Cricetulus griseus: one gene and its partner. The protein of the gene in region 1 interacts with the protein of each later gene in a pairwise test. Links are inferred from orthologs where the notes say so. Each region holds a gene or a part of one and is shown on either strand. Other genes may lie near its edges. The genes, in order: Mapk14 and Dusp1.

Evidence for each region.
Region 2: the proteins of Mapk14 (region 1) and Dusp1 interact in binary tests that used the Homo sapiens proteins (3 or more experiments, as listed by UniProt). The link is inferred for Cricetulus griseus from reciprocal best matches to the Homo sapiens genes MAPK14 and DUSP1.

What each region holds. Positions count from the first base shown.
Region 1 is NW_023276806.1:233,799,080-233,807,772, forward strand, and holds the start of Mapk14 (mitogen-activated protein kinase 14), read left to right. Parts: upstream 1-3,901; 5' UTR 3,902-4,072; coding exon 4,073-4,188; intron 4,189-8,693. UniProt on the Homo sapiens protein: Serine/threonine kinase which acts as an essential component of the MAP kinase signal transduction pathway.
Region 2 is NC_048600.1:47,298,419-47,307,111, forward strand, and holds Dusp1 (dual specificity protein phosphatase 1), read left to right. Parts: upstream 1-2,578; 5' UTR 2,579-2,748; coding exon 2,749-3,115; intron 3,116-3,344; coding exon 3,345-3,490; intron 3,491-3,851; coding exon 3,852-4,071; intron 4,072-4,423; coding exon 4,424-4,794; 3' UTR 4,795-5,468; downstream 5,469-8,693. UniProt on the Homo sapiens protein: Dual specificity phosphatase that dephosphorylates MAP kinase MAPK1/ERK2 on both 'Thr-183' and 'Tyr-185', regulating its activity during the meiotic cell cycle.

The DNA of each region.
Region 1 (8,693 bases):
TGTGTGTGCATGCATGTGTGGGGTGTATGTGTGTCTGTAGTGTGTTGTGTGTGCATGCATGCGTGTGGTGTATGTGTGTCTGTGGCATGTTTGTGTGTGTGCATGCATGTGTGGGGTGTATATGTGTGTCTGGTGTGTTTGTGTGTGTGCATGCATGTGTGGGGTGTATGTGTGTCTGTGGTGTGTTTGTGTGTGTGCATGCATGTATGGGGTGGGCACAGCGGCAGCGGCGGCAATAGCAGCAGCAGCGTGACTCTGGTACAGAGCAGCATATAAGGGTGCTATGATCTAAGCTAGTTATCTTGCTGGTCTTGGCTTTTTTAGTTTTTGAGACAGGATTTCACATAGTCTAGGGGGCCTTGAACTCCAATCCTCCTGCCCTATCAACCAAATGCTGAGATTACAGATGTATGTCATCATTCATGCCTTAATTCTTTTTTTTTTTTTTTCTTTTTGTGGTGGGAATGCACTTGAAGGCCTCACATGCTAGGATGCTCTACCCTGAGCTGTGGTCCCAGCCTTTAATTATCTTTAATCAGGCTCTCACTGCTACATTTAGAACACTATATTAAAACACAAGCACTTTAACCCAGCTCTTTCACAACTTCCACTGTCCTTATCCATCCATCCATCCACTGATTGATTCAAAGAATCTCCATTTGGAATATTTAAATGCAAAAAAAAAAAAGGTAGCCTGATATATAAGACCCAACAGACAAGAAGCCATGAAAACTAAGGTGTGAGAATGTCTTTCACTGATATAGTCATCTTTCAAGTTTCCTGTACCATTAGGCAAAGTTCACTTCCAATTTTTAAAAACAAGCGTGTGTCCAGGCGTTGGTGGTGCCGCCTTTAATCCCAGCACTCGGGAGGCAGAGTCAGGCGGATCTCTGTGAGTTCCAGGACAGCCTGGTCTACAGAGCCAGTGCCAGGACAGGCTCCAAAGCCACAGAGAAACCCTGTCTCGAAAAACCAAAACCAAAAATACAAAACAAACAAACAAACAAACAAAAACCAAAAACAAGCGTGTGTAATCCCAACCAAAACTACTCATTGCCTGTGACTCTCTCAGTTTTGATGGAGACTGTGCAGGATATGGCAAAGGTGTCAGCAAACTCCGTTGTGTAGTGGCAGGAGATAAGTGAAGGTGACAGCCCTCCAGCTGCTGACCACAGGTCACATAAACACCGGACACCTTCCTTTAGTGTTGCCAAGGGACAGATACTCATCACTGGGCAGAATGGAGAAGGCAAGCGGGGGCCCAATGCATAATCCATAAATAGGGATTTGACTGGAAGACAGACAAGGGGGAGAAGGGTGGAGCGCAAGATTCCGCCAGGCAGAACAAGGTGAGCAAAAGCAGTGAGGTTTGAAAGGATAAGGAGTCCTGGGCTGAGGCCCCGTGAGGACAGAAGGGATGGAAGTGGGGAGAGGCCCACAGACAATGAGAGGAGAGAACTTTGAGAGGACCCGGCCTGCAAAACCCACTTTGTCTCCTGCTGCTGTTTCAGGCTGCCTTTCTATCCCAGAGAGACGTTCCAGGGACTACCTCCACCCCTCCTTCCCTCCCTCCCTCCCTCCCTCCCACCCCCTCCATCCCTTCCACCCCTCCCTCCCTCCTTCCTACCCACCACCCCTCCCTCCCTCTCTCACCCCTCCCTCCACCATCCACCCACCCCCTCCCTCCCTCCCTCCCTCCCTCCTCCCTCCTCCCTCCCTCCCTCCCTCCCTTCATCCACCCATCATCCATCCATCCACTCGTAGCGCAAACAATCCAGAGTGCCCAGGACCCTCTGGGCCCTGCAGGTGACCCCACCAGCCCCGCCCTGGGACGCTCCGCTGCCTCTGGGCTCCCGGGCTGCAGCCAGAGCTCCCGATGGCTCCGGACCGAGGCTCACCTGGTTCCCGGTGGCGGGCGGGAGTCGCAGACGCTGGGGTCAGACTGGCTGGAGGCGGACGGACGCGGAGGCCGGCAGTTCCGAGCCGTTGCTGCAGAACCCGCGGGCGTTCCGGGGGTGCGGCGGGTGACGCGCAGGCTGGCGTGGACGGCACCCGGGCCAGGAGAAGGGTACCCGGCTGCGCAGCACACCCGGGCCGCGGGCACCCTGGGCATCCTCGGAAACGGCCTCTCCTCTGCTCAGACGAACGCAGAGAGGCGCGCACGGTCACGTTTATCTTCAGCTTCCAAGACGGGGGGATGCTTGACCTCTCGTGGGAAGTCGAGCCGGGGCCTCAGGTCAGCAGGTTTGTCTCCAAGCTGCGCTGCCAGAACTCGCTGCCCCGTTCCCCATGCGCCCGGGCGGGGATTAAGTCTTTAAAATTCTCTGAGTTCACATTCTTAGGAGTCTCCAAAGTTTCCTTTAAATCTCTACAGTCGGGATGGTTCTCATGGGCAGGAGTCAGGCTCAAACCCCAGGAATGGGTTTTGGGTGTTTCAGAAAAGCAGCCCAGGCTGCCTGCTAGCTACTCATTGCACAGCAGAGGCTGGGCTTCCTTCCAACTGCTGGGGTCACAGAGAGTAATAAATATATATTTATTACATTTATTTATTACATATATATATTTATTACATATATACATATATATTACATATATATAAATATATATAAATAAAATATATATAGTGTGTGTAAAATATTCATATACATTATATTCATATATATATGGAAGAGGAGACCTTCCTGGAATACAATGACCTACCAGCATGTGTGTGTGCATGTGTGTGCGCACATACGTGTGGTGTGTGTGAGCATGTGGTGCATGTGTGTGCGCGCATACGTGTGTGTGCGTGTGTGTGCACGTGTGTGCGCGCACGTGTGCGTGTCTGTGTGTGCATGTGCGCGCGCGTGTGTGTCTGTGTGTGCATGTGCGCGCGCATGTGTGTGTGTGTGGTGTGTGCATGTGTGTGCGTGCATACGTGTGTGTGCATTGTGTGCGCGCATACGTGTGTGTGTGCATGTGTGTGTGTGTGTGTGCATGTGTGTGCGCGCATGGGTACATACGTCCCTGTCCCTTCCAGCACAGGAATCGAACCCAGGACCTCGCAAATGCTACGCAGGCCCCGAGCCCGGCCGGCCCGGCCCCTGGAATTTGCTTCTGAAACGTCCAGGGCGGCTCTTCAGCCTGAGAAAACTGAAGGGGGCTCCTGGGCGTCTGGAGGGGCGGCCTGGGCTCCGGGGCAGGGGCAGCGAGCGTCCGTCCATCAGTCCGTCCGTCTGTCCGTCCGTCCGTCCCTGGGCAGCCAGGGGCCGGCAGCTTTGCCGCCCTGGCGCCAGCGCTCGCCCAGCCGACCACAGCGAGGCGCGCGCGGCACGCGCTGCGCCCTCCCCGTCCGCCCCGCGCTCCTCCCCGCGCTCCTCCCCGCGCTCCTCCTCTCCGTCCGCCCCGCGCTCCTCCCCGCGCTCCTCCCCGCGCTCCTCCTCTCCGTCCGCCCCGCGCTCCTCCCCGCGCTCCTCCTCCCCGTCCTCCTCCGCCCCGCGCTCCTCCGCGCGCTCCTCTCTCCCGTCCGCCCCGCGCTCCTCCCCGCGCTCCTCCTCCGTCCTCTCCATCCTCCCCGCGCTCCTCCTCCGAGAGCCCCTGCCCCGAAGCCCTGCCAGCCCCGCCCGCTCCGTGTTCTCGCGAGAGGCGCCGCCTCCGGCGCGCTCGCAGCGGCCCCTCCCACGGGCGGGTTCCGTATTGGGTAAGATCCCGGCGGGGCGGGGCGGGGCGGTCGGACGGGGCGGGGCCGTGGGCGCGGGCGGGACGGGGCGTTGTTCTCGCGAGACTTCCGCGAGAGGCTCCGGTCGTTGCCGGGAGGAGCGCGGCGGCCGGAGCCAGCCCACGGGAGCCCGGGCGGGCGGGCGGCGCTGCAGCGCTGCGAGCGGGAGTCGTGCGGCGTCGGCGCGGCGCGGCTGCAGCGCAGCGGCGGGAGCAGCCTCGAGCCGCACAGCCGGCTCCCGCGCGTGCCCGCGGCTCTGACAGGGGCCGCGGCGTCCAGCCAGCCCCGCGCGGGCGAGCGGCGGGCGAGCGGCGGGCGAGCGCCGAGGACAGACAGCGTGCGGCTGCAGGCAGCGGCCCCGGCCGCCGCTGGAAGATGTCTCAGGAGAGGCCCACGTTCTACCGGCAGGAGCTGAACAAGACCATCTGGGAGGTGCCCGAGCGCTACCAGAACCTGTCCCCGGTGGGCTCGGGCGCCTACGGCTCGGTGTGGTGAGTGTCGCCGGGCCTGGGGTCCGGGGACGCCGGAGCCGGCGGGGCGGCCCTGCCTGCGTGCCTGCGTGCGAGCCTCCGTGCGTGCGAGCGTGCGAGCCTGAGGCCCGGCCTGTGCCCGCGGCTCCGCGATGCGCCCAGCGGCAGGAATTCTGCCCCGGCCGGGCCCTGCACCCCTCACTCACCCACCCGGGTGCAGCCGCGCGGGCTCCACCCTGCGCCCCTCCCGGGCTCCCTCCGCAGCCCCGCAGCCCCGGGAGAGCGGGCGAGCCAGCCGGGCGGAGCCTCTGCGAGGAGCGGCAGGGCACACAGCCTGACCCCGCGACTGCGGTCACCGGAACGAAACTTGCAAGAAAAAAAAAAAAAAAGCGCTCCCTTCCCGGATTTTTGTTTTTGTTTTTTCCTTTTTCTTGCAAGACTCCATCTGGAGGGGGGACAAATCTGGCTCCGGAAGCGTTCTTTGGGAATTAGCACATGAATTAGCAGCACCCCGAAGAGCCTAGAATGCTGACTTTATCTCGGCGAGCGCGGTGCCAGCTTGCGTGCTGTGTTTCCGATTCGGTTGAAAGCGTATTTCCTTTTCGGGGCGGGAGGGTGGCAGCGCCTGCAAGGACGCCACCGCTCGCCGCTTAGTCACACACCACTGCTCATTTCAGTGTTGCTCCACAAATCAGTTTTCCCATGCGGGCCACAGGGACTCCAGATCAAGTGATCGGAGGTGTAAATAGCTTTTTAGTTGAAATAATTCCTGGGATGCTTTTCTTTAAGTCCCTTTGAAGATTTGTAGGGGCGCGCTATCAGCTTGCTTTTTTTTTTTTTTTCCCAGGGCTGAGGGACGTGGCTTTGGTGAGAGCAAAGGAAACAATGTTTCTCAGCTGTCATTCACACCGTGATTCTTGATTCTTTGTTGTTCATTTGAGACTTTGTATGTCCCTGGCTGCCCTGAACTTCACTCTTCTGGCTGGCCTGGAATAAAGGCTTTTACCACCTTTGCAAGGCCCTGGGAGTGGGTTTCAAATTAAATCCATACTATAAAATATCCACTCCAGAAGTGATTAGGAACTCTCCAGGGTTCATACAGTGTCTTTTAGGCTTAGTGTCTTCTTAGAGCTCTGGTTCTTGAGGTTCAACAGCTTAGCTCTTCACGTGCTTTAGTAATTTATATACACTCCTGTTTTCGAAGGTTTGTGAAATGGTTTGTTTTGTAACAAATTCCAGGGTTCTGCATGTGTTAATCTTTAGGTATGAGTCCTGTGTTACTTAAAGTCACACCATGAATTTCCTGTTTGGTAGAACCTTCTGGGTAATTGAGATTGTGCAATAGTGTCCAGCAACAGATCATATTGCATTTGTTGGCGCAAGCTGCTTAAGTTATGTTGCAGATGGCACCAACCCTGACGTCTTTCTCCCATGTCTACAGAATGGCAGTTCACACATCTGTCATGTGTATTTGCGACTGTTATCTTCATTCTCTAATATTTAATAGCTCATTAGCATACCTCAGTCCGTCATTCCTAATTGTTAGAGTATCAGGCTTTGCTTTCCATTTGAATGTTCAGGGAGTGGTGAAACAGAGTATCTCCACTGTAGGCCATCTGGGTGGGTGAACTTGCAAGGTTTCCTATGGACACTGCTGTCCTGGCCGAAGAGCCAGGTTTGCAATGAAGTTCAGTGGTGAAGTGCCATTAAAACTACGCTCACTTCCTCTGGTGCTGTTCTTTTCTATGAAATAGAATTCAGCACCACCTCACAGTTGGAAAGGACTTGTACCAAACAGCTTCTTAAAAGTAGGTGATACAGGGCAGGGCGGTGGTGGCACACACCTTTAATCCCAGCACTGGGGAGGCTGAGGCAGGCGGATCTCTGTGAGTTCGAGGCCAGCCTGGTCTCCAGAGCGAGTGCCAGGATAGGCTCCAAAGCTACACAGAGAAACCCTGTCTTGGTCTTGAAAAACCAAAAAAAGTATGTGATACAGGACCAGTGATGTAACTCATACTACAGCCCCTGGTCTTGCATATGGGAGGCCCTGCATTCCATCCCCAGCAATACACAAACAACACAAAGCAACTCATTAGCAACTCATTATGTATAAAATGTAAAAAGGTATGCAGCAGGAAGCCTTCTGTTTCTGTTCCCCAGCCCTGTTTTCTCTTCCTTCAGTGACAACCGCTATTCGGTTCCTTGCATGTCTTTTTCAGAGACGAAGAGTTTGTACCAGAGATGTAAGGTGTAGCCTATAACCTGTCGATGGGGGAAAAGACAGCTGAAATTGTACATGATGACTGAGCAAATAACTCTCTCAAGTTATTTGAAGCTGGGTTTTTTTTTTTTTGAGGATTTATTTATTTTATATATGTGTGGGTATTTTGCTTACACACATATATGTGCACCCCATGAATGCTTGGTGCCATGGAGACCCTGGAACTGGAGTTACAGACAGTTGTGAGCTGCCATGTGGGTGATGGGAATTGAACCTGGGTCCTCTACAGGAGCACTGACCACTGAATCATTTCTTCAGGCCTAAAGTTGTGTTTTCAGTTAGCTTTTTGGGTACAACTGAAAACACCTTTTGAATTTCTTTCTTTTCTTTTTCTCCATCCCCCTCCCCCGCCCCCAAGACAGGATTTCTCTGTGTAGCCCTGGCTGTCCTGGGACTCTCTCTGTAGACCTGGCTGGCCTCAAACTCACAGAGATCCACCTGCCTCTCTGCCTGACTAGGAGAATTAAAGGTGTATGCCACCATGCCTGACTTCTTGAAATTCTTTTTTAACCCACTTGGTGGCTTGTGTTCCCATTCTCCACTCTGATCCTCCGAGACAGTTTGATATCGGAAAACAGTGATGTCCATTTGAATGCAAGTGACTGAGGGGGATTCAGACTGAAGCCTTGAAAGGAGAGAAGGCAGTCCAGTTGGCAACACTGGGTTACACTTATAATATCACAGCATTTTTTAATATGGCTTATTGAGCTGGCCCTGAGGTCTCTGGATAAAGGAATCTTGGTATGGGACATGGTACACTTTGATGTGTAGCGCTTTTTTTTTTAAGCTCAAGCCTATATTTTAATTTGCACTATGTAGTGAACAGCAGTGACAAAAAAGTAGCGCTCTGTATTGTGCAGTAACCAACTATGAATCAAAGATCAATGAAAGACCAGAAAGTTGAGGGCTGATAGAGCTACACAGTATCTTTCTTTCAAAAAGAGCAAAAGGAACTAAACTAAGTCTTCAAGTTTAAGGAACTTTGTTCATTGTCTGTAGAGGGAAATGAAGCAAAATTGTCTAAGACCACATTGTTGCAATGCATTGATTTTGTGGTTTGGGACATAGGGGAAAATCTCTGTGGTGAATTTAAGGAAATACAAACAGGAACTTCGGTGCCTTCCCTCTGGGGAAGGGGTCTTTCTAGGCCCTTGCTGAGCACACTTGGACACTGCATTGGGAGTGAGGATTGAGAGTCACTTCCAGATCATCTGTAGCCATTTGTTCGTCAGTATTTATTACATACCACCAAGTAGTGGCTGGGTGCAGAAGACAGTTCGCTTTGTCATCGGACTTGCAGAGGAATGAGTTTAATGGTTACATTTTACCGGTTGCTTACTGTGTTGTAGGCATGGTAATGTACAACTTATGATTGTCATGTAAACATGTAACTAAACATGGTAAGTTCTTTTAAGAAACCAACAATTCAATGAGCTCTAGGACAAGATTTTTTCGAGTAAAAACAACAAAAAACAAATAAGGCTTTAAAAAAAAGTATTAATAGCCATTAATCATTAATGAGCCAGGGTAAAAGCAAAACTCCATGGTTAGGTATGAAACCATGAGTTTCTTGACCCTTGACCAGAGAGAAGTCTGGTCTTTACTTTCTTAGTTGTAATAGCTCACGCCTCTTCTCTCCCTGCCTTTCTTCCTGCCTTCCTTTCTTCCAGACAATCCGATGGCCATGAACTCTTGATCCTTTTGCCTGAGGCTCTCTAGTGCTAGTACCACAGGAGCTGCTTTTAGCTGACACTACTGTCTTTGTAACTAAAAGCAGAATAGTTACCTGGATGTTACTGGTCTTAATAAGAAACCTTTAAATACAATTAGTAACTCCTAACCAAAAGTCTGAGGCCAGCCTGGCCTGCAGAGTAAAAATGAAGCCCTGTCAACTCAAGAAAAACAAACATGCAAAAACACCCACAGAACATGGTTACTGAAAGAGGGTGCGTGTGTGTTTAGATCGATTTATTTTTATGTATATGGGTGTTTTGTCCCAATGTGTATCTGTATTCTTGTGTGCTTGGTGCCTTCAGAGGCCAGAATGGGGCATGTTATCCACTGAAACTGAAATTACAGATGGTCATGAGCCACCATGTTGGTCCTGGAACAAACCCCAGGTCCTCTGGTAGCCAGTGCTCATAGCTACTGCACCATCTCCTGTTTTACTCTTGGCCTTTTGGAGGGGCCTGCCACCCAGCTCCCTAATACATCACACACGGAGTCTTATTTTTTTCTTATAAAC
Region 2 (8,693 bases), on another chromosome or scaffold:
AAACAGATCCTAAATGAACTCTGAAAGGGTCTGACAGGTTCATAGGCTTGTGCCAACCCTGTGCACTGAATGTCCCCACCGGACCCAGATAGAAACTGATGCTCTTCTCCACAGTCACAGGGAGGTGCAGCAAGGTGAAGTGACTGATGAGACACACAGAAAGAGGGGAGGCAGGCTAAGACTTTTGGCGGCTTTTTCCCACCCCACCTTCCTGTAGAGTTGTTCTAAGCACACCTGGAATTATGAAGTTCTCAGGCCAGTGAGGCCCAGCCTCTCCCAGAGTTCACATCTACTGACTCACCTGCTCTGGGCCCTCAGCAGCTAAGCACATAGCACAAGCTGCTTACCCTTCCAACTCTGCTGAAAGAAGCCTATCTGGTTCTGCTCCCTGTCACCAGGGCATTCTCACTGCCTGGACTGGGACCTTGGGTGGCTAGACCTTTGCTAACTCTTTCTGAACAAGTGGATCCTAGAATAAGTCCCTTGTGGTACACAAGAGCTTTCTCTCAGCTGGAGCTCCAACCAGTTGAGGCTTCTAGGAGTCTCTCAAGACCCACCTGAAGATACCAGCTAAGGCTCTGATGCCAGATTCTGAAACACACAGCCCAGGGGGCCTCATGATATAAGAATCACAGCCGGGAAGGGGAAAAACAGAGTCAGTGACTCAGGAGGGGAAAGGTCCCAGTGTCCTGCCCCTCCTGCTTTACAAGGGAATGTCACCAAGCCATGCTGCATGGTATCCATTGTACAGATACTGCCTTGAAGGCTCAACAGAAAAGAGAACGGCTGGCTCTCCAACAGTCAACTTTCCCCCGGGTTCCAGCCCACTTTTTATGCTTCTTCCAGGGAGGGAAGAGAGCAGAACTCCACGGGGACCAGCAGACATTTAACTTCAGTACCAGACCATGCCACTGCATTTGTATAAATAGGTCGTTTAGAAAACTTTGGATATAGAAAGATACAATGGATAGCCTTGATATATATATATATATATATATATATATATATATATATATGAAAAAATGAAGTTGGTATGCAGTTCGTAACAGCAGCAGCTGTAACATTTTATGATTCAACACAAAAATATGTTGAGGTTCTCAGCTGAATAAGTGGAATAAATAATTTTTTTTTCTTTCTGTCGCTGAGATGCAGGGAGGGTGGTGTTATCTGACTCCTTTGCTGCTCTTTTAGATCAAGGCTCATAGGAAGGTAAAATGCCCTTCAAAAATAAAGTACCCCGAATTTACAAAGAATCTAGGCAGAACGCAAGAGCTAGGGGAGGCCAAAGTGGACAGACGTTGCAGAGCAACAACATTTGGTGACCGGTAATACACCTCCCCCTAGTAGAGAGGAAGAAACCGCAGAATGTTCCTGACTCGGCGCCCCTGCGGAGTGGTGCAATGTTTATGTTTATGTATCCAACTCCGTGGTGTCGTGGTTGGGGCTCCCGGCCCCAATTTGGGGAAAGGACACAGACCCCATTGGGGTCTTCCTGGGTGCCAAGGTACAGGTCTTGGCAATACTCCTAAGGCGCCTTGGGATTGGATTAGGAGTTCAGCCACTCTGGATTACCAGGACCTGGGTTTGTCGGGTAGAGTTTGGCCTCCATAGGAGCGGATTCCAAGGCCCCAGCCATGGGTCGTTAGTGCGCCCAGCTTCTGTTCAATACAGATGAAGAGCCAGGTTTGGGGGTGCATGCCGTTAACCTCAGCACTGGCGAGGCAGGGGCAGGAGGATCTCTGTGAGTTCAATGCCAGCCAGGGCTACAAAACAACACCCTGTCTCAAAACAAAACAAAAGTTGTTTGTACCCGCACGCGCACGCGCGCGCGCATGAGGAGGAGTCGGGGAGCAGCAACCTCTGGAGCCACGCTACAAAGTGCTTGGTGGTCCCTGGGCGGCGCTGTCGAGCCCTGTCCAGATCGCCCCAAATGCCAAACCTGGGCTCCACACCCGATCTTTCAACCCTTCCATTCTTGGCTCCAAGTCCTCTAAAGACCACCGCGGCAGGGATAACATTCTGGTAGGGGGCTGCCTGGAGGTACTTTCCCATGTTCGTCGTAAAACAGTTTAAAGTGACACTAGAGAAGGACGCCTCGACTCTTGCCATTTGTCCTCTGTAAAGCCACAGGGTTTACCGAGTTGATCACCTCTCTCTACCCCTTCCCCTTCCCCGCTCCGCTCGCCCGGGCCAATACCCCAACAGCGGGAGCAGGACCAGTTGAGACCGTAGTCCCAGCAGTGCTCCTACGCTCTCGGCGGAGACCCGGGGAGGGGAGCCGGGCAGGTGTCCCCGGGCGTGTCCTTAGGCCGCGCGTCCTGACCACCCGGGCTGGCAGCGCGCAGTCCTGCCAGCGGGGCCGGCGGACAGCAGGGTGGGGGCCGGGCGGTGAGCCAGCGTGCAAAGCCGACCCGCTCCCAGGCCGATGACGTCTTTGCCTTTGGCTTCGGCGGCGCCAAGCCCGGCAGGGTGGGTGACGTCACCAACATGTCACGTGATCGCCATTCAAACAAACAAACCGTTCCCCCTCCTCCGGCGCCGCGCCCGGGACCGCCCCCGAGAGGCCACATAAAACCGCGCTCCCAGAGCTGAGCGCGCAGCGAAGGACTGGCGGGCGGGACGCACAGTGAAACTAGATTCAGAGCAGCGAGCACTTGGGGACTTAGGGCCACAAGGATACCGCGTCGGACCGACAGATTGTTTTTGGAGGGCCGCGGGACGGGCACGCTGGGGTCGCTGGGGCTGGCCATGGTGATGGAGGTGGGCATCCTGGACGCCGGAGGGCTGCGCGCGTTGTTGCGAGAGCGCGCTGCGCAGTGCCTGCTGCTGGACTGCCGCTCCTTCTTCGCCTTCAACGCCGGCCACATCGCGGGCTCGGTGAACGTGCGCTTTAGCACCATCGTGCGGCGCCGCGCCAAGGGCGCCATGGGCCTGGAGCATATCGTGCCCAACGCCGAGCTGCGCGGCCGCCTGCTGGCCGGCGCCTACCACGCAGTGGTGCTTTTGGACGAGCGCAGCGTCGCCCTGGAGGGCGCCAAGCGCGACGGCACCCTAGCCCTAGCTGCGGGCGCGCTCTGCCGAGAAGCACGCACCACTCAAGTCTTCTTCCTCCAAGGTACGCGCTCGTTCTGGCAGGACCTCTGCCATTAGCTGGGAAAGGGTCGTCCCACCTGGAGTGCCCGTGTCCAGTCTCCAGGGACTTGTCACTGGCTTTGTTTGGCTCCAGGAACAAAGACTTCCCTGAGCCTTCTATGTAAACTCGCATCCTCTGGTGGGTGGGTGACTTGTCTCCAGGTACTGTGTCGGTGATGCTAATGGGAAAATGTGTTCCTTTGTGTTCTCAGGAGGATATGAAGCGTTTTCGGCTTCCTGCCCCGAGCTGTGCAGCAAACAGTCCACCCCCATGGGGCTCAGCCTCCCCCTGAGTACTAGTGTCCCTGACAGCGCAGAATCCGGATGCAGCTCCTGTAGCACCCCTCTCTACGATCAGGTTAGTAAGAGTCCCCGTCTATGTGGGGGGGTGGGAGGGGGTGGCAGAGGTCTGGAAGGGCTGTGTCAGGGAGAATACAGAAAGTGGCTGCAGCTTTAGTTATACTTGAGGGGACATGGGAATTTTTATTCCACAGTGAAGCGATTGGATGGAGCTGAGTCTCCCAGTTGCTGGCATATAAGAGCTTGTTGGCTCTGTCCAAGCCAATGGACCTAATTCTTTATTATTATTTTAATATGCCGTCTATGCTGAGGTCACCAGTGTCTGAAACTCCCTTTTTCAGTAGGGAGTTTTTGTGGGTGTGGGTACTCTGTTAACTCTGAACAAGCTTGATGAATGCTGGACTGTTTTTGGATTCCAGGGGGGCCCAGTGGAGATCCTGTCCTTCCTGTACCTGGGCAGTGCCTATCATGCTTCCCGGAAGGACATGCTTGACGCCTTGGGCATCACTGCCTTGATCAACGTCTCGGCCAATTGTCCTAACCACTTTGAGGGTCACTACCAGTACAAGAGCATTCCTGTGGAGGACAACCACAAGGCTGACATCAGCTCCTGGTTCAACGAGGCAATTGACTTCATAGGTAAATGAAGGTGTCTGGGACTTCTGCTTTCTGTCCTCACTGTAACCATTGAGTCCAGCCTCTTGGGTGATGGCTTGATTGACCCTCACCTGAGCCTTCTTCCTCACGAGTAGCAAAGCCAGACTCAGATAGCTGAACTGACTGACTTGCCCAGGATTATAAGTGGAAATACCTAGTCTGGGTTTAAATCCCTTGCTATCCCTTACACAATGCACATACGAAGTCCATATGATAGCACGAAGCTGATCCTTAGCCATATCTGGACAGGTCACACGAGACATTTCTTAGACATTTGACCTGGGCTTGGGCTGGTCTCCTGAATTTTTGAGTAACCCACCACTTTGTTTTCCAGACTCCATCAAGGATGCTGGAGGGAGAGTATTTGTCCATTGCCAGGCCGGCATCTCCCGGTCAGCCACCATCTGCCTTGCTTACCTCATGAGGACTAACCGAGTGAAACTGGACGAGGCCTTTGAATTTGTGAAGCAGAGGCGGAGTATCATCTCTCCTAACTTTAGCTTCATGGGCCAGCTGCTGCAATTTGAGTCCCAGGTGCTGGCCCCGCACTGCTCTGCTGAAGCTGGGAGTCCTGCCATGGCTGTCCTTGACCGGGGCACCTCCACCACCACTGTCTTCAACTTCCCCGTCTCCATCCCCGTCCACCCCACGAACAGTGCCCTGAACTATCTTCAGAGCCCCATCACGACCTCCCCCAGCTGCTGAAGGGCCAGGGGAGGTGTGGATATTCTCGTGCCACCGGGACGCCACTCCTCCCATGGGAGGAGCAATGCAATAACTCTGGGAGAGACTCATTTGAGCTGGTCCTTATTTATTTAAGCCCTACCCCCTCCCCTCCCGAGTTCCACTGGGTTCCTAAGCAGTCATAATAATGACTACTGCAAGACATTTGCTGAACTCAGCATTCGGGTCCAATATGTTGTGGGTACATCAAGTCCCTCTGACAAAGCAGGGCAGAAGAGAAAGGACTCTGAGCCAGTTTCTTCACTTGCCCATTTTTTTTTTTTCTAGAAACTTCATGCTTGACATACCTACCAGTATTAACCATTCCCGACGACATACACGTATGAGAATTTTACCTTATTTATTTTTGTGTAGGTGGTCTGCCTTCACAAATGTCAGTGTCTACTCATAGAAGAACCAAATACCTCAATTTTTGTGTTTGCGTACTGTACTATCTTGTAAATAGACCCAGGGCAGGTTTGGTTTCAACACTGGTGGACAAAACCGGTGTTGGTTTGTAGTTTTTAGTTGTCAACAGTTGTATGTTTGCTGATTATTTATGACCTGAAGTAATATATTTCTTCTTCTAAGAAGACATTTTGTTACTAGGATGACTTTTTTTTATACAACAGAATAAATTATGACGTTTCTATTGAGCTCTTGATGATTCGTTTCTTTGGCAACCCTACTCTTGAGCAAGTATCATAGTGAAAAATTGAACCAGCACTGCTAGGATGTGTGTGGGGTCTGATCCTGTACCTCTTTGGTGACCCATGGGTTCCACAAGATGACTAGGTTGCCACAGAGGCATGCAGGTGAAGTGTATGAAATACTAGGGGCTGTTACCCAGATCTTAGTATAGGGTCAAGGTGTACCAACAGTCAACATCATCTGCCATGTCACCCCAGGAGCTCGAGTGTCCCCAGAACCATTTGCCTTAATTAACTTTTTTTTTTCATTAACATCGTTGGGAATCATGGACAAGATCTCCCCTCCCTGAGCTATTTGCAGAATGCCCAGGTTAATGTGTTCTTAATGTGTATGCACAGCATGGGATTAGCCTCTCCTCAGAGAGACTCTGGTGCTGTACAGGTGAGGATGTGAGGCTCCAAGTAGCTGAGCAGCTGGATCAGGGGATTAGGCACTGCATTTTGTTTTCTAATCCTATGACCTGTGAACTTTGTCACTTGTCTATAACATATAGTCAGTTTGCTTTGGACAATGCTTTTATAGCTTTAAAAATAATGCATCAAATGAAAAACAAATCCAAGTACTAAATGCATGTACAGGGAAGAAATTACTTGCACCTCCCCTGCTAGTTTTTGGAGGGTGTGCATACCAACCTCTGCATAGAAACAACATTTTTGGCAACTGTCTCCTTCAGATCACTTGCTACTCTACATACCTGTGTTGAAGACATAGGCAATTATGTCAGACTTGCTTTAGGGCAGGACTCTGGATTTTCACCCCTGCCAAGCAGGCTAAGGCTGGGAAGGTATAATTGAATACCAACCCATAAATCCAGTCTGTAATGTCAAATGGCATAACAGCAAAGCCCTTGGGTTCCTGGCCCCTGTGTGCCCACTTTTCTGCCTCCTATTTGTAGAGTAAGTGCTGCTCTATGTAGAAAAGGAAGCGTCCCATCCATATTTTCTAGAATTGGCTGGTGCCATGATCCTCACGCAGACCCATTGTTCAAGCCTTGACACAGAACTTGCCCTTGACCTCTTCCTGCCTGCCACTTGGCATCCAGGTCTGAAGATCCTTGTGTTCTAAGACAGAAAAACTTATCCTGGGCTGGCAAGCTCATATCCTTGGCTGGGTTTTGGACAAGTATATTCATGCCTTCAAAACAAACCAGATGCATTATTTTTATCAAGCCCTAGATATTTGCTATTGTGAATTGTTCCCTGCGTGGAAATGTACCAGCAATGGCGATTCCGTGGCAGATTCGGAGACTGCCTTTCCCGTGGGCCAGAGTCTCTGCTTTCAACTTGGCAGTCACTGGCTGAACCCAAATTAGTCTCCAGTGTGATCCAGTCAATGGAAAAATACAGAGGCTACCTCAGGGAGCTGCCAGGGAAAACAATTCACTCACTTCTTGACTTTCTAGCTGCTCACCTCACAGCCCAGACAAGAAGCTACCCCTCTCACAGGTCACCTTTGCTCAGGTCCTCTAGAAAACATCATGCTTGGGACAAAAATCAGTATGTCAGGATGAAAAGAAAGTATTAAAATATTAGTTTCCCAGAGAGAGTTGATATGGACCCTACTTAATTACTTAAGGCTTACCCAGTAGTGACAGCTATCAGTTTGGGGGCTGCCACTGAGTTCCAAGGTCCACCACATGTTTCGCTTGTGTTCACAGTCTTTAACATCACATCCATTTCCCAGAGGAGGAGGCAAGGCTGCAGATTCAGTGTTCTACCATAAGTAGATGGTCTTGCTGGAGTCTCAGTGAAGACTGGCCTAAGTTGCTAAACAAGAGTTTTGTAGCCTTCTGTGTTCTGCATGGTTTTACCCCTGAATTTTTGGGTGGAAAAACTATACCCCTCAAGGCCCCAGTTTCTTCCTCCAAGCAACAAAGAGTGACTGGCGTATTGACTGAGGGCTGTAGAGCAGCAACTAGATCCCCTTGTCCCCAATGACGTCTGGTTTTCCCACCCTATGAAATGACCAGTTTGCCCTGGATCTGAAGAGCTGGTTTCATCCCAGCTCTTTAATTCCAGGTTGTGGAAAAGGCATGGATGATGGATGCCTGCTCTGTGCTTTTCTGTGGTTTCCAGGCATCCATCAGATGAGACTTCAGCCTCCACCACCTCCACAGTATCCTTTCCTTCCCTTTCCAGGGAACTTTGCAAATTGAAGCTCCCTTGTTTTGCACTAGCAGCCTCTGGCATCCATTTCCCCCTCTCAGCGTATCCAGGATGACATCATGGTGCCTACACCTTTAAGATTATATAAATCTGTGATCCCGCAGTGGCCTCAGTCCCCATGGTAACAGCGGAGGAGTTTCCCTTTTGTGAGGAAAGCTGTCATGTCACTTCCTGCTGCTGACAAGTCAGTTTGGGAGATTAAAATGAAGGGGGGCGGGGTGCCTCTGAGAAGTGCTGGCTGCATGGTTTCTGTTGCTGTATACAGAGGCAAACAATGTCAGTTTGCTGGCCCCGCCTGCTATGCTGGAGCTGGCTTTCCCACACCTCCTAGCGGGTGGATCCTGGTCACCTGGGGCTGTTTGTCTCTAAAGGTTGCATTCTGGGAGCAGGTAGGAAGGCTGCCCACCGCTGGGGACTTTTTTTTTTTTTTTCCTGAGGCTGTGCTGGACAAGTTTGTTCAAGAACAGCCTGGTATAGCCCAGCCTGGGTTCTACTGTGTCAGCTCAGGACTGGGTTTTGTTCCAGAGAGAACAAAGGGTCCTCATGGCACTGGCCTCATAGGGTTGACTTGCAGAGAAGTTCTGCTAAGGAAAGCACCTAAAAACCCCCACCTTCTAATGAGCTTTTAAAGCTAAGAGCCGTTCCACTCTTCCATTGCCTCATTCATTGATCAGCCAGCCAAGAGCATCCGAATACTCCACAGACCTCTGTTTGTCGCAAGACAAAGTACTAGCTCGTAAGAAGCAGCAAAGGGGATGCATGTGTCAGCAAGGAGACAAGAGATGTGGATTATGAATACGGATGATGCTATGGAGCTGGGTTGGTAAAAAGAGGACATGCCAGGTGTGGCTGTTGAGGCACAAGTTGCTCAGAGGAGTCATGAGCCACACCGAGGCCTGAATGGTGAGCTGGGAAAAAGGGGTTTAGCTCACAGGGCAGCAAAACTGGAGCTTTGAACAGACCCTCTGTGGACAGGGGACAGAGGGTCACATGAGTCAGTTATAC